Linked DNA regions of Arabidopsis thaliana. The protein of the gene in region 1 purifies or fractionates together with the protein of each later gene. This does not show direct contact. Each region holds a gene or a part of one and is shown on either strand. Other genes may lie near its edges.

What was found. Proteins that work in one complex are often made in the same cells at the same time.
Region 2: the proteins of AT5G42740 (region 1) and IMD3 fractionate together in Arabidopsis thaliana (co-fractionation; one large-scale study listed by BioGRID). This does not show direct contact.

What each region holds. Positions count from the first base shown.
Region 1 is NC_003076.8:17,133,918-17,141,698, reverse strand, and holds AT5G42740 (Sugar isomerase (SIS) family protein), read right to left. Parts: upstream 6,039-7,781; 5' UTR 5,806-6,038; exon of another isoform or gene 5,622-5,805; 5' UTR 5,620-5,621; coding exon 5,566-5,619; intron 5,550-5,565; exon of another isoform or gene 5,473-5,549; coding exon 5,396-5,472; intron 5,239-5,395; coding exon 5,157-5,238; intron 5,074-5,156; coding exon 5,026-5,073; intron 4,842-5,025; coding exon 4,686-4,841; intron 4,605-4,685; coding exon 4,508-4,604; intron 4,410-4,507; coding exon 4,367-4,409; intron 4,090-4,366; coding exon 4,022-4,089; intron 3,931-4,021; coding exon 3,846-3,930; intron 3,666-3,845; coding exon 3,617-3,665; intron 3,340-3,616; coding exon 3,267-3,339; intron 3,191-3,266; coding exon 3,130-3,190; intron 2,848-3,129; coding exon 2,781-2,847; intron 2,584-2,780; coding exon 2,527-2,583; intron 2,438-2,526; coding exon 2,384-2,437; intron 2,266-2,383; coding exon 2,137-2,265; intron 2,022-2,136; coding exon 1,958-2,021; intron 1,866-1,957; coding exon 1,792-1,865; and 10 more.
Region 2 is NC_003070.9:11,141,961-11,146,763, forward strand, and holds IMD3 (isopropylmalate dehydrogenase 3), read right to left. Parts: upstream 2,758-4,803; 5' UTR 2,703-2,757; coding exon 2,308-2,702; intron 2,239-2,307; coding exon 2,127-2,238; intron 2,056-2,126; coding exon 1,891-2,055; intron 1,817-1,890; coding exon 1,730-1,816; intron 1,651-1,729; coding exon 1,534-1,650; intron 1,438-1,533; coding exon 1,330-1,437; intron 1,246-1,329; coding exon 1,039-1,245; intron 952-1,038; coding exon 883-951; 3' UTR 501-882; downstream 1-500. Other genes in the region: IMPL1 (myo-inositol monophosphatase like 1), read left to right, coding at 2,901-3,200, 3,384-3,451, 3,562-3,695, 3,794-3,882, 3,983-4,040, 4,106-4,158, 4,251-4,463, 4,550-4,651 and 1 more.

The DNA of each region.
Region 1 (7,781 bases):
TGCAATTATTAAAGTTCTTACGTAGGGCAGGTCGATCCTCTTATAGAAAACGTCACACTATCATTTGGGTTGTTAACATGGATCACAAGTTGCAGCATTATGATACTTTATAGTAGCGTTTTACCAATTTTAGAGGCGGCTTCACACCAGAGTAAATGACTTCTGACACAAAAAGCATGGTCACATCACATCATTGACCTAACTGACCACAACTCGTGCACATGAAGATGGGGTCATGCGCCGACATTCATTGTCGTGAACTAACATTCTCCGAAATATAAAAGAAAAATATCGTTGTTTAATGGGCAAACCAGAGTTGTAAAAGTCATCACCTCACTTTCTCTCCAAGTCATCACCTCACTTTCTTTCCATGCATTGGAGTGCACGATATTGTTCTGAACCACTATTTGGTAAAAAATGTTTAACGTTGGGTAAGGACTTGGGCGCAAAAGTGTATCAACGGTTTCTTTGGTGGAAAATTGTTTTAACTAGTGGTCTGCTTTTGACTGTGGCACTGACAATTGATTTGTTTTAAGAGGTATGTTATATACAATAACCGTAAACAGAGGTACATGAATGCTATTCTACAAAATCTAAAGTGAATAGTTACGTATATAATCATTAATCAGATACAATATCTTTCGGAATAACCGGATTGCCATGCAAGCTTGAAAAATGCTGTTTCTATGGTTTATGAAATTCTGATGAGCAATAAGAGAAAGTATCCTAAGTCGTGCGTTCTTTTAAGGATGTTAAGTTTTTGATCGTACACGTTAAGCATCAAAACACTCGATCGAAGTACATAGTCACTCGACGTTGATTTTCGGATACGAAAAGGCTGCCGACTATTCTTAAATCATTTTATGTGCATATAATTTAGAGAAAAAAAGCTCCTCTGATATTATGCTCCCAATTCTGATTTTATGGGGTTTGGATTATTAGTACCCATTTTTAGATAATTTATGAGTGCCGATAAAGTATACTCTGATCAGGGACAGTGAAAAAAAGAAGAACAAGGGTGAAAAATGCTCAAATGGTTCACGTTTGGTCGAAGGAGAGAAACTTGGGCTTGGTCATCACATCTGGGGCTCGGAACTTGTCTGGAAAAGTATTTCAGAGATGTTTTAATCAGAACCATGACCAAAGATTGAGAATGTGAGAGTCGTTACACGGCCATACCTCGAGATATCGTTTCAAAAGTGTGGTGGTACTGTAATTGAATCCCTCGGGAGCGGTTCCTTGAGTGCGTGATGAATGAAGCTGTTTCCTGACCTGAGTAGCCAGAACTTTTCCTAGCTCAACGCCCCACTGGTCAAACGAATTGATACCCCACACAAAGCCTTGAACTGCTACTCTGTGTTCATAGATAGCCAACAACTGAAAAATAAAACATATGCAAAAATGTCAGCTTTTGTCGCAGTGATCCTCTCATCTCAATCTTAAGATGGTAGTGATAACCCTGAGATAGAGACAGACCTGGCCAACATTGTAAGCAGTCAATTCTGGAAGTAGAAGGCTAAGAGAAGGTCGATTTCCAGAGAATGTCTGTGGAAAGATACCAACAGGTTTACTCCAACACATTTATATACTGAAAAACATAGAAGTTTTGTTTTTTCAACATCGATCCAAGACAAGTTTTTACCTTATGGGGAATGAGATTTTCTGAAACATTCTCTTTCTGCAGCTGTTCAGGAGTCTACAGAAGGTAAAAGAACAAAGAGTTTGTTTCAGCATGGAACCTTAGTAAATGCATCAGTCTCTTTACTGCCATGACCAAATGTAATGTCTTACTTTTCCATATGCAAGAGCATCAGGCTGTGCAAAAAAGTTTGACATGAGCTCGTCGTGGTTACTGACCACCTCTCCTGTTAATCCAATGCAGAACTTATCTTATTTTCGAAAGAGAATGCATAAAACAGCTCAAGTCAAATTAACAGTAGCAGGAATGGAAGCCTACCCTTAAGGTACACAGGTTGCTGACTCTTCACAATGCCAATGAAATCACAAGGGATTACGCGTCCCTAAAACATCATTTCAAAAGATTTAGTGCTTTCCTCATTAGCTTATCATGTGATGAGAACTTGCTAAAATCTAGATCCAAATTTCCAGTAAACTCAAATTATAGGTAGCAAGTACCTGGTGAATGAGTTGGTAAAAGCTGTGTTGACCATTTGTTCCAGGTTCACCAAAATCAATCTCACCAGTCTCGAACGGGAGAGGTAGACCATCAATTGAGACTCCCTTTCCATTACTCTCCATACTAACCTGAGATCAACCAATTGCTCCGTTAATATTCCCGTAAACAATTTTAAGACTTTTATGTCAAAAATAGATATGAAGAAGCAAAGATTAAGGAGACAAAAGGGAAACCCAGTTCACATACCTGTTGAATGTGTGGAGCAAATTTCTCAAGGGCTTGCGAATAAGGTAAGATGGCCTGAGAAAACAAAAAAGATGTTGATGGAGGCTGAATATCTTAAACTGAGATGAAAACTTCAGCTTTCTGATAAAGGAGTCGATTCTTACCCTAGCAGGATATCCAAGAAATGATACATTCCATACACTCAACAACCCTAAAAGCACCTGAAATCGTCAAAAGTCACCAAATCAACCTCTCACTCCGGCGTGACTACACTAATTAAACTAACTTACAGAAATCCCTATGGAGAGTTAATGTAAATGCTTGCTATCCTGAGTATAAGCAACTTCTTGGAAGAGTAATTCTTTGTTAAATGATGACTTCAGGTTACTCTTAGTGATTATCAAAATAAAGCACTCACAGGTATATTCTTCTCGAACGGTGTGGACTGGAAATGCTGATCAATGCTTGAAGCTCCCTTCAAAAACCTACCATCCAAAAAAAGACTGAATATCGACTGCACTATTGTGGATTTAGAAACATAGGGAAGGGTAATAAATAAAAGGGAAGTACAAGAAAAAAGAAGAAATCATTCAGATAAAGAAAAAAAAAAAAAAAAACAGAATTTACATCAATTTCTTTCCTGACATTTTATAGTTAGAACGAGTACATCTGTAAACTTATGCAGATAAATATCTCAAGACAGACATGCATTACTTCCTATTCCTAAGAAATTCTCTGAGAAGGGTAATAAATAGAAGCTACCGTACTTCTCAACCATGGAGAAGCCATACTGCAGAGACAAAGGTAAGACTCCAACCGCACTGCAAACTGCAACAAAAAATTCGGATAAAGATTAAGTGGATATGGGTGAGAAATGAATCCAACCAAAGAGACAAGAACTTACCACTGTACCTTCCACCAACCCAGTCCCAAAATGCAAATGCATTGTTCGGGTCAATACCAAACTTCTCTACTAACTGTTAAACAAAACATCCATAGTTTATACACTTTCCTGTACTGTCTGAATATGAAATATGTAGAAGGAGGTCGAAATAAATCATAATTCCTAGAACATCGAGACTACCATAGTCCATTAAATCTGTTCGATAATTCAGTTTCTAAAAAGACTGGATCAACATGTCATCTGTTCTACATAATCAGAACGACTCGAGTGCATGTGTTTCGAAGTTTAAGTTTACTAAGATGGACAATAAGGAAACAAAGTCCCCAAAAGAAACTCTAGCAAATGCATACCGCAAGATTAGTGCTGACAGCAACCATATGTTTTGCAACAGCTGAAGCCCTGTTAAGTTATCACATGTTAAATGAGTGATGTTCATCCACGATAACCAAAATATGGTAGAATAACACAAATTATATTTTGAAAAAAATAATAATTGTAAATGTACAAGCATAAAAGCTTTCCTCTGGCGATAATTGTAATTTTCTAACAAAGTAAGATTAAGATGCCAGAAATACCAACCCAAGAGCAGCTGTTATCCATTCCCTCAATGTTCTGGCGTTAAGCATTGTTTCAGCTGTTGTAAACGTTTTCGAGACCACCACAACTGGATTACAAGTATCCTCAGAATTAGTCAGAGTGAAAATCCGTCAATGGAAACTATGAAAGTGAATTTGTTGATAGGTTTGAGCATGAACCTAGAGTAGTTTCTGGATTTAGTCCACTGATATTTCTAGCAACATCAACAGGATCAATATTTGCAAGACTGCACAAAAAGAAACAAAAATTAATTCCAAGCAAGGCATCCACATGAATGAAATCCAAAAGGAATAACTAGAAGCTAACAAGTTCAATACAGCCTCCTCTTCCTAGGTTAAATGAAATTTAGACAAACAAGGAGTATGCAGTGTCTATGACAATAATGGTAAAGAAAGAATTCATGGACCTTCAGGAGAAACTTCAAGAAGCTCATTCATTCTACCAAAGCATTGCGAACAGAAACACAGAAAAAGACTACATAACTACAGGAATGCTGTGCTTACAATCGCAGCTGGCGTCCTTTAGCAGACTCTAGAGCTTCAGGATCTGGGAATGAAAATGCATATAAAAGCAAAAATTTGAATCAAAACAAGCTAGAAAGAACACCAGCAAGAGGCAAGGTACCAAGACTAGATGCAGCCCACCTGTTTGGAGAGCCGTGTGGACAAACAGTGGACCTAAGAAGCTACCACCAATACCAATCGCAATGACATCTTTCAGCGGTTTGCCAGTGGCTCCAACCTGTCAATTAGTTCAAAAAAACTCAACACAAGGAGATGAAAACGTAAAGAGGTAGGTTTTATAATGGCATCTAGAATTTACCCATGAACCAGAGCGAATTTTGTCAGAAAATTCCTTGATCTTATCTAGAACGTTCCACACTTCTGGAACCACATTCATTCCATCAGCCTTGATAACTGCATCCTTTGGAGCACGGAGCGCAACATGAAGAACTGATCTGTTCTCTGTACTGTTAATCTGAGGAAGCCATTTAAACAAATCAGACACCATAGATGATAGAAAATGTTTCTGTCTCAGTACCGAAGAAGATGGAGAATAATTCGCTTACAATTCATTTGCATTCTCTATTCTCTAATATGTAATACTAGATAAAGAGTTTCATAAGATCAAATCAAAGTAAGATTAACATGCGGATACTTACATGCTCCCCATTGAACATGCGGCTGATCTTCTCTGTCAATTGAGAAGCCTGCATATAGAAACAAATTATCAAAATTCGAGTGAAATTCGTTGCAATTCTATTAAAATCTGTCAATAAACATCTACCCTCACCTTTGCCAAGTTCAAAAGCTTGTCCATTGTCTCAACAGTTGCACGCTGTCGAGAATAATCCAACAGCAACCCATCAAACTCCCTAATTAAAACATACCAATAACATTAACAAGTTCAATACCAGAGCAATAGAAACTCGTAAATGCACAATAACTAGAAACAAACACAAAATCAACCGAGTTCAACAACAAACATAATGTACATAGCACATATGAGCCAAAGTAGAAAAGAAGACATACATCATCATGGACTGGCATCTATTAGCATCACTCATCAAATCACGCAAATGAGTCTTCTTAATATCTTCTACATGTCCCTGCCAAATTACCAAAACAATCCCAAATCACTTCTCTACACAAACCACCATTGACAAACTAAGAAAAGAGAAAATCCTTAAAGACTACTTTACCTTCAAATCCTTCCACGCTTCGGTATCACAAATCAAAGCGGTTGATGACGCCATTACTAGTAATCAATCATCAACAACAACGAAAAAGTCAAATAATAATAAAAATTCAGATTCAAAACAATTTGATTTTGAAACGCGAGAGTCGTCGTTCATCGCGATTTAACGGAACAAAACTTGAATTGGTATCACAGTTTTGATTAATCAAGAGAAGGAAACAAAAACAAAAACAAAAACAAAAACCTGAAGGTCTTCGAAGATGAGGTGAAGAAGAAGATTCCGGAATTGTGAGAAGAAGAAAGCTAGAAGAGAGAAAGTTTCCGATAGGGAAGAAGCGTGTGAGAGCTGAGGGTATGACACGTGTTGACGGAAGGTTCTGCTCTGCAACACGCGCGATAGAACGGAATAAGTTGGTAGAGAATGTTAAAACGGTGGCGTTTTAGTTGGATTAAGGAAATTGGTTTATTCATTTTCTATACACTGGAATACAAATCAAAAACAAAAGGCAAAGTCAATATTTTTTGAGAATTTTATAACTTGCCCAATACGATTCTCAGACCATCTTAGAACACTGATTTCACTCGCCATATACGGCGGATAATATTTTATTATATATAGGCTTTGATTGTTTACTAGTTTTTGTAATGGTTTTTGGTTTTTGTTTTTGAAAAACTTATTTTTTACCCATTCAAGATTTTGTGAATATGGTTCTTTTTAAAATCAAGGAATCTAGTTTTTGGAATATTTTTAACAATTTTTATTGACAATTTAAATTCTAATCTATTTGAAAACTCACAACCATTCTGAAATTAAGAGCAAGACGGCTATTTTAGGTAATGTTTTGAGTGAACTTTACTTTCTTATTATTTCACTTAAGTTTTATGTTACATCACAAGTTTCCTTTTATAGTTAAACAACGCTAGAGTTTCAATTATTGTAAACTGACAGATGTCTCAATCTTGTTATGCTTAGCAGATCATCAAACAATCAAATCTGTTCTCCGTGTTGATTGGAGGCGTACGACAGACGCTCCTCTTCTCTGTCGTTACTCTGGCTTTGTTCTCTTGCATAGGTGGTTTTGACCGTTGAGAAGATGAAGAAGATTTGTTGGGCTTCTCAGTTAAGTTGACATTGGGCTTGTTAGGTGAGTGGCCCAATATCCCTTTTCCTTTGTTTACTGCAGCGACGTCGTTCTGACTCGTTGACCCTTCATCTGCATTTGAGTTTTTCTCCGATCTTGTGTCAGATTCTGGAGCTGATGACGGAGCCGTGGAGCTCTTGCTAATACATTCATGGCTAGGCACAGTTTACTGAGTCCGCCTTATGACAGTCCTCTTTCATTGTACATATTCTCTTTTTGATGATAAATAAATTTAACATTTTATAATAATAAACAAACAAAAATAGCATAATATAAGGTAACAAAAAAAAGTGAATGATATTCTTTTGTATTAAAATTAGAATATAAGAGCAAGACCATTGGTAAGTCCTTATAAAGGAATCCTTACATTTGTATAATAATAAATTTTGAAAATTTTAAAGTTTAGAGTTTTTGTAGAGTCTTTACATTTTTTACTGTCCAGTGGTAGAATCCTTAAGTGAATTTTTTTTATAAAAAAAACCAGTCATTTTGGATGAAGAACTTGCCATTTTGGATGAACTAGTATTTTGATGAAATTAAATAGGTTTTAGCTTTGTATTGGAGTTTGTGTACTTTACTTGTTCGGTTTCTTCATTCTATTTATTTGAGGTGTGTGTGATTATTTCTACTTTTGGGTTTGTTGACATATGTCATAACTCAGTGGCTTCTCTTTTGGATGTTATGTGTTCGCATGCTTCAGAGAAGCCTTTTGGTACGTCAAAATCAAATGCTGCATGGTCATGTAACAAGGAGTAAGTATATTATAGAAGGATCTCATACAGCAAAACCATTAACATCATTACATTAATATCTAAAGCGTACAACAATCACTAATTTACTATGTACACACGCTTCTGTCATAAGAGTTTGGAATGTGACAGATACATAACCACAAACTAAATGAATAAGGAAAGAGTCTTTACAGATCCGAGTCTTGCCAGCTAGCCAAGCAGAGTTCATGTAATTCATTGAGTATCCATTCCTCACCATTGTGACCACCAAGGACCAATACTCTAGTTCCTCCAACAACGCATGTGCTATGTCCCCAAGCTAACTTGGGTGGTTTCCCTGGGACATT
Region 2 (4,803 bases), on another chromosome or scaffold:
GGTGTGCCCTCATTCCGGTCATTTTCTTTTGAAGAGTTAAAGGAAGCCACAGACGATTTCGATTCATCACGTTTCTTAGCTTTGGAATTATGCAGGAAAATGGCTAAAACAGAGGGCGATGTGTACAACTTTGGATTCATACTTCTGGAATCTCTGATAGGACCAGTACCTACTACAAAAAGGAGAGGCCTATCTTCTCAACGAAATGGTATCATATAGGGTAAAGAAAAGAAGCAAATCTTCATCATTGTTAATAGCTGTTGCTGCAATGTTGTATTTGCAGACGTCATTTGGGAGCCAAGACTGTCGACAGAAAATAGGAAGTCCAACGGTCCTAACAACAAGCTCGCAGGAGTCTTTACCCAATTGCCATCTCAATCGCCAATAAATGTGTTTTGCTTGAACCTTCTGCAAGACTTCCTTTAAAGATGTTCTCTGGAACTTACCATATGCAGCTCAAATGCAGTCTGCCGCAGACGCTGAACGCAAATCTGATAAGTCGTCGTGAATCCAAAGGCTAACCTGATGATTGATAGTTGTTTTCGGATTTATAAATGTTATGTTTTATAAGTTTGGTTTTTCAGTAGAAAAATGTAATACTCTAGCGGCTAAAAAACATAGTTTCTTGTCTCTCTTGAAACTTTATTCGTTTAACAAATATTGATTGAAGAAGATGTTGAGTTTTGTAGTTGGCGAGAACTTCTCAATCTTCAAGAACAAGGTACTGAGGCAGGAGACTTGTCAAATGTTCTTGGAGAATTTTGTCTTTGAATTGCAGAATCGATCCCAAATATTTTATTATTATAAAAGCTACAAGAATACAGTTTCTAATACATGTATTAGCAAAAAAGTAACAGTAAAACCAAGGGCTACACACTTTTCTTAAACAGGAACTTTGGAGTCCACTGATTTGAGAACCTCCTCACCCATTTCCTTGCATCCCACCAGTTTCTGCATTTTCAAAACACAAAAAGACTTCTTTAAGTATATTGTCATTAACTTATACAAAACAAAAGACAGAAATCATCATACACATACATTTCCGGGGGAGTAGATGTCTCCGGTTCTGAAACCTTTGTTCAGAGCATCCACGACCGCGTCTTCAATCATCTTTGCAGCCTTTTCTTCTCCAAGTCCATACTTGAGAAGCATCGCCGCACTGAGAATGGTGGCCAATGGGTTTGCCTTGTCTTGTCCAGCTATATCTGGTGCTGAACCATGTATAGGTTCAAAGAGTCCAGGTCCCTAGTTTTCATCACAAGTTTAACAATCAATATATGATAATAATAAACAGAGGAACCTTGAAATATTAGATTTAGTCTTACTTACCGATTCACCAAGACTTGCAGATGGAAGCATCCCAATGCTACCAGTGATCATTGAAGCTTCATCAGACAATATATCACCAAAAATGTTATTGGTGACGATTGTGTCAAACTGCAATAATGTTTTTAAAAATGCCGTGAGTACTACAAGTTCCACTTCTGTGTTAGCTTAATCAACGGCTAAGCTTTATATATGCGCGAAGATCACCTGTTTCGGGTCACGGACAAGCTGCATCGCAGCATTATCGACATACATATGTGATAGTTCAACATCTGGATATTCAGAGGCTAAAGCTGTTACTCTTTTCCTCCACAATATTGATGCCTATACGAAACAAAACAAAAAAATAATTGTATAACGAAAAACACACAAGAGTGGAGTGGAAAAACAATTCAAAACATACATCCAAGACATTGGCTTTGTCAACAGAACACAGCTTGCCACGCCTTTTCCTAGCAGTCTCGAATGCAACACGAGCAATTCTGTCAATCTGAAGAAGATAAAGCAATGCATTAATACACATACATTGTCACAGAGCAGCAGATTGTGAAGAGTAAGTAGTACCTCGTGAGCAGCGTAGATCTCTGTATTAAAACCGACTTCTTCGCCATTTTCGTTGATCGTAATGCCTCTTGGCTCTCCAAAGTAAATACCTCCAGTGAGCTCCCTTACAATCATCATATCAACACCTTGTGCTACTTCTTTCTTCAGTGTGGAAGCATCAACTAGCTGAACAAGCAAAAACAGAAAAATTTGAGTATATTTACAACTAGAAAGCAAAGTGATAAGCAAATCAATACCTGTGGTAAAACTGTAGCAGGTCTCAAATTAGCAAAGACATTGAGATCTCTTCGAATGTTAAGCAGACCCATCTCAGGTCTCAGATGTTTCTCATTCTTGTCCCATTTGTACCTGAACAAAAAATCATCATAAAGAGAATAAATTTGCTGAAGAAACAACACACACACGCATTACACATACCCTCCGATAGCTCCAAGAAGAATGGCATCAGACTGTTTAGCAGCAGTGGAAGTTTCCTCCGGCAATGGAACTCCGACCAAATCCAAAGCTGCTCCGCCGAAAGGCATCTCCTGGAAATCAAACTCTAGTCCTTGGAGAAATCCAGCTTTCTGAAGCACATTCTTAGCAACAGATATAACTTCTGGACCGATACCATCGCCGGGAAGCAGAGTGATGTTATACCGTTTTTTCACCGGTGAAGCGGCGGCGCACCTAATTCGATACGGCGCACGAAACTTATGATCGGTGAGAGAACTGTATCTTCCCGGTATGATCTCCAGACGGATGTTAGTTTGCAAAAACGCCGCCATCTTTTTTTCGAGTTTAGGGCACCACCATCGGCAAAAACTAACCATTTGAGTATACTACAGAGACCGGTTATCTCTGGTTATTTGTTAACCTGATTTTGGTTCAATGTTCTCATTAATTTCAATTTTAAGTTCTATCAGCTTTTTGGACTCTCTCATGTCCACCATCCGTTCACTTGGCCGCGTTCATATAAACCAAAAACCGAACAACAACAAAAATTCGAAAATTCTCCGGCGACACCAACAATGGGAAGGTCTCTAATATTCTCTGGAAACATGTCATTGAGAATCTCTCACTTACCCAGATCATCTCTTCCGCTGCAAAACCCAATTTCAGGCCGGACAGTGAACAGAACTTTCCGATATCGGTGTACGAGGATTTTGTCTAATAGCTTCAAGTCCACAACGAGACTTCAAACCAAAGCTGTTCTGTCTGAGGTTTCTGATCAGACGCGATATCCCAGAATCGGCGCTAAAACCACCGGAACTATATCTCCGGCACACCTCCTTGAAGTCGTTGAACTCGCCGCTAAAACCGGCGCTGAGGTTCGAAATTTCATGTCTGTAGAATACAATATCTGAATTTATGTTTATTGGAAACAAAAACTCTTGATGAGACTTGAAATTGTGTTCAATGGTACTAGAATCAAGTTCTTGGGTTCGTAGGGCACAACTGCACAAGGAGAATAATAACAAAACTAACTTGAATTGAATCATCTGGTTTGTTAGGTGGTTATGGAAGCTGTAAATAAGCCAAGGAATATTACTTATAAAGGTCTCAGTGACTTAGTAACTGAGTAAGGACTTCTTCACCTTTTAAAATTGTTAGCTTGAGGTTTTAACTATGTTCATGTTGACTTGATTGGTTGAAGCTATTAAAGTTTTAGTACTTTTGATGAATTTGCAGTACTGATAAAGCAAGCGAGGCTGCTATTTTGGAAGTAGTGAAGAAGAATTTTAGTGATCATCTTATTCTTGGTGAAGAAGGAGGTATCATCGGCGATTCGTCTTCTGATTACCTCTGGTGCATTGATCCTCTAGGTTTAGCTCTCTTTACAAATCTCATTGCTTTCTTTTCATGTGTTTGTGTGGAATCTCTGAGATTTTTAGTATTAGTCTCTTAATTCCTTTATGCATAGATGGAACTACAAATTTTGCTCATGGATATCCCAGTTTTGCTGTTTCCGTCGGTGTTCTGTATCGTGGAAATCCCGCCGCTGCTTCTGTGGTAAATCCAATATATACTTGCACAAACCAGCTAATGCTTGTTAGTTCCTATTTGCTGATTCTTTGGTCAGTAGGATTAACAACAAAATCTCATCATGCAGGTAGAGTTTGTCGGTGGTCCGATGTGCTGGAACACTCGAACCTTTTCTGCAACTGCAGGTACTATGTGACAAGCTTATGTTTGGCTATATATCTAAATTTTGTCTAACTAGTTCACTTCTTAGGTGGTGGAGCATTGTGTAACGGGCAAAAAATTCATGTCAGTAAGACCGATGCTGTAAGTAACTTATCAAGAATCCAATTTTAAGTTTCGACATGGTGTGTTCAATGGTTTTGGTTTATTAGATATTTATTCGGGTTTGAATGAAGGTGGAGAGAGCACTTCTTATCACAGGGTTTGGTTATGAACATGATGATGCATGGAGCACTAACATGGAACTGTTCAAAGAGTTTACTGATGTGAGTCGGGGAGTGCGAAGACTCGGTGCTGCTGCAGTTGACATGTGTCATGTTGCACTTGGGATTGCGGAATCATATTGGGAGTACCGTTTAAAGCCATGGGACATGGCTGCTGGTGTTCTTGTAGTCTTCTTCATCCTTCTTGTTGTTTTTTTCTTACTAAAGTACTTAAGTTGTAGAGCTTAATCCATGTCAGAAAATGGACACAGATAGTTGAGGAAGCTGGAGGAGCTGTGACTCGGATGGACGGAGGGAAGTTTTCTGTGTTTGATAGGTCTGTTTTGGTCTCCAACGGCGTTCTTCACCCCAAGGTTTCATGAACTGTTCATACTTTTATCAATGCTTTTAATCTGTTGTGCTTAGAGATCAGGTCTCACATATTTTTTGTTTAATCGGTGTAGCTTCTGGAAAGAATTGCACCCGCAACTGAGAATTTGAAGTCGAAAGGAATCGATTTCTCGTT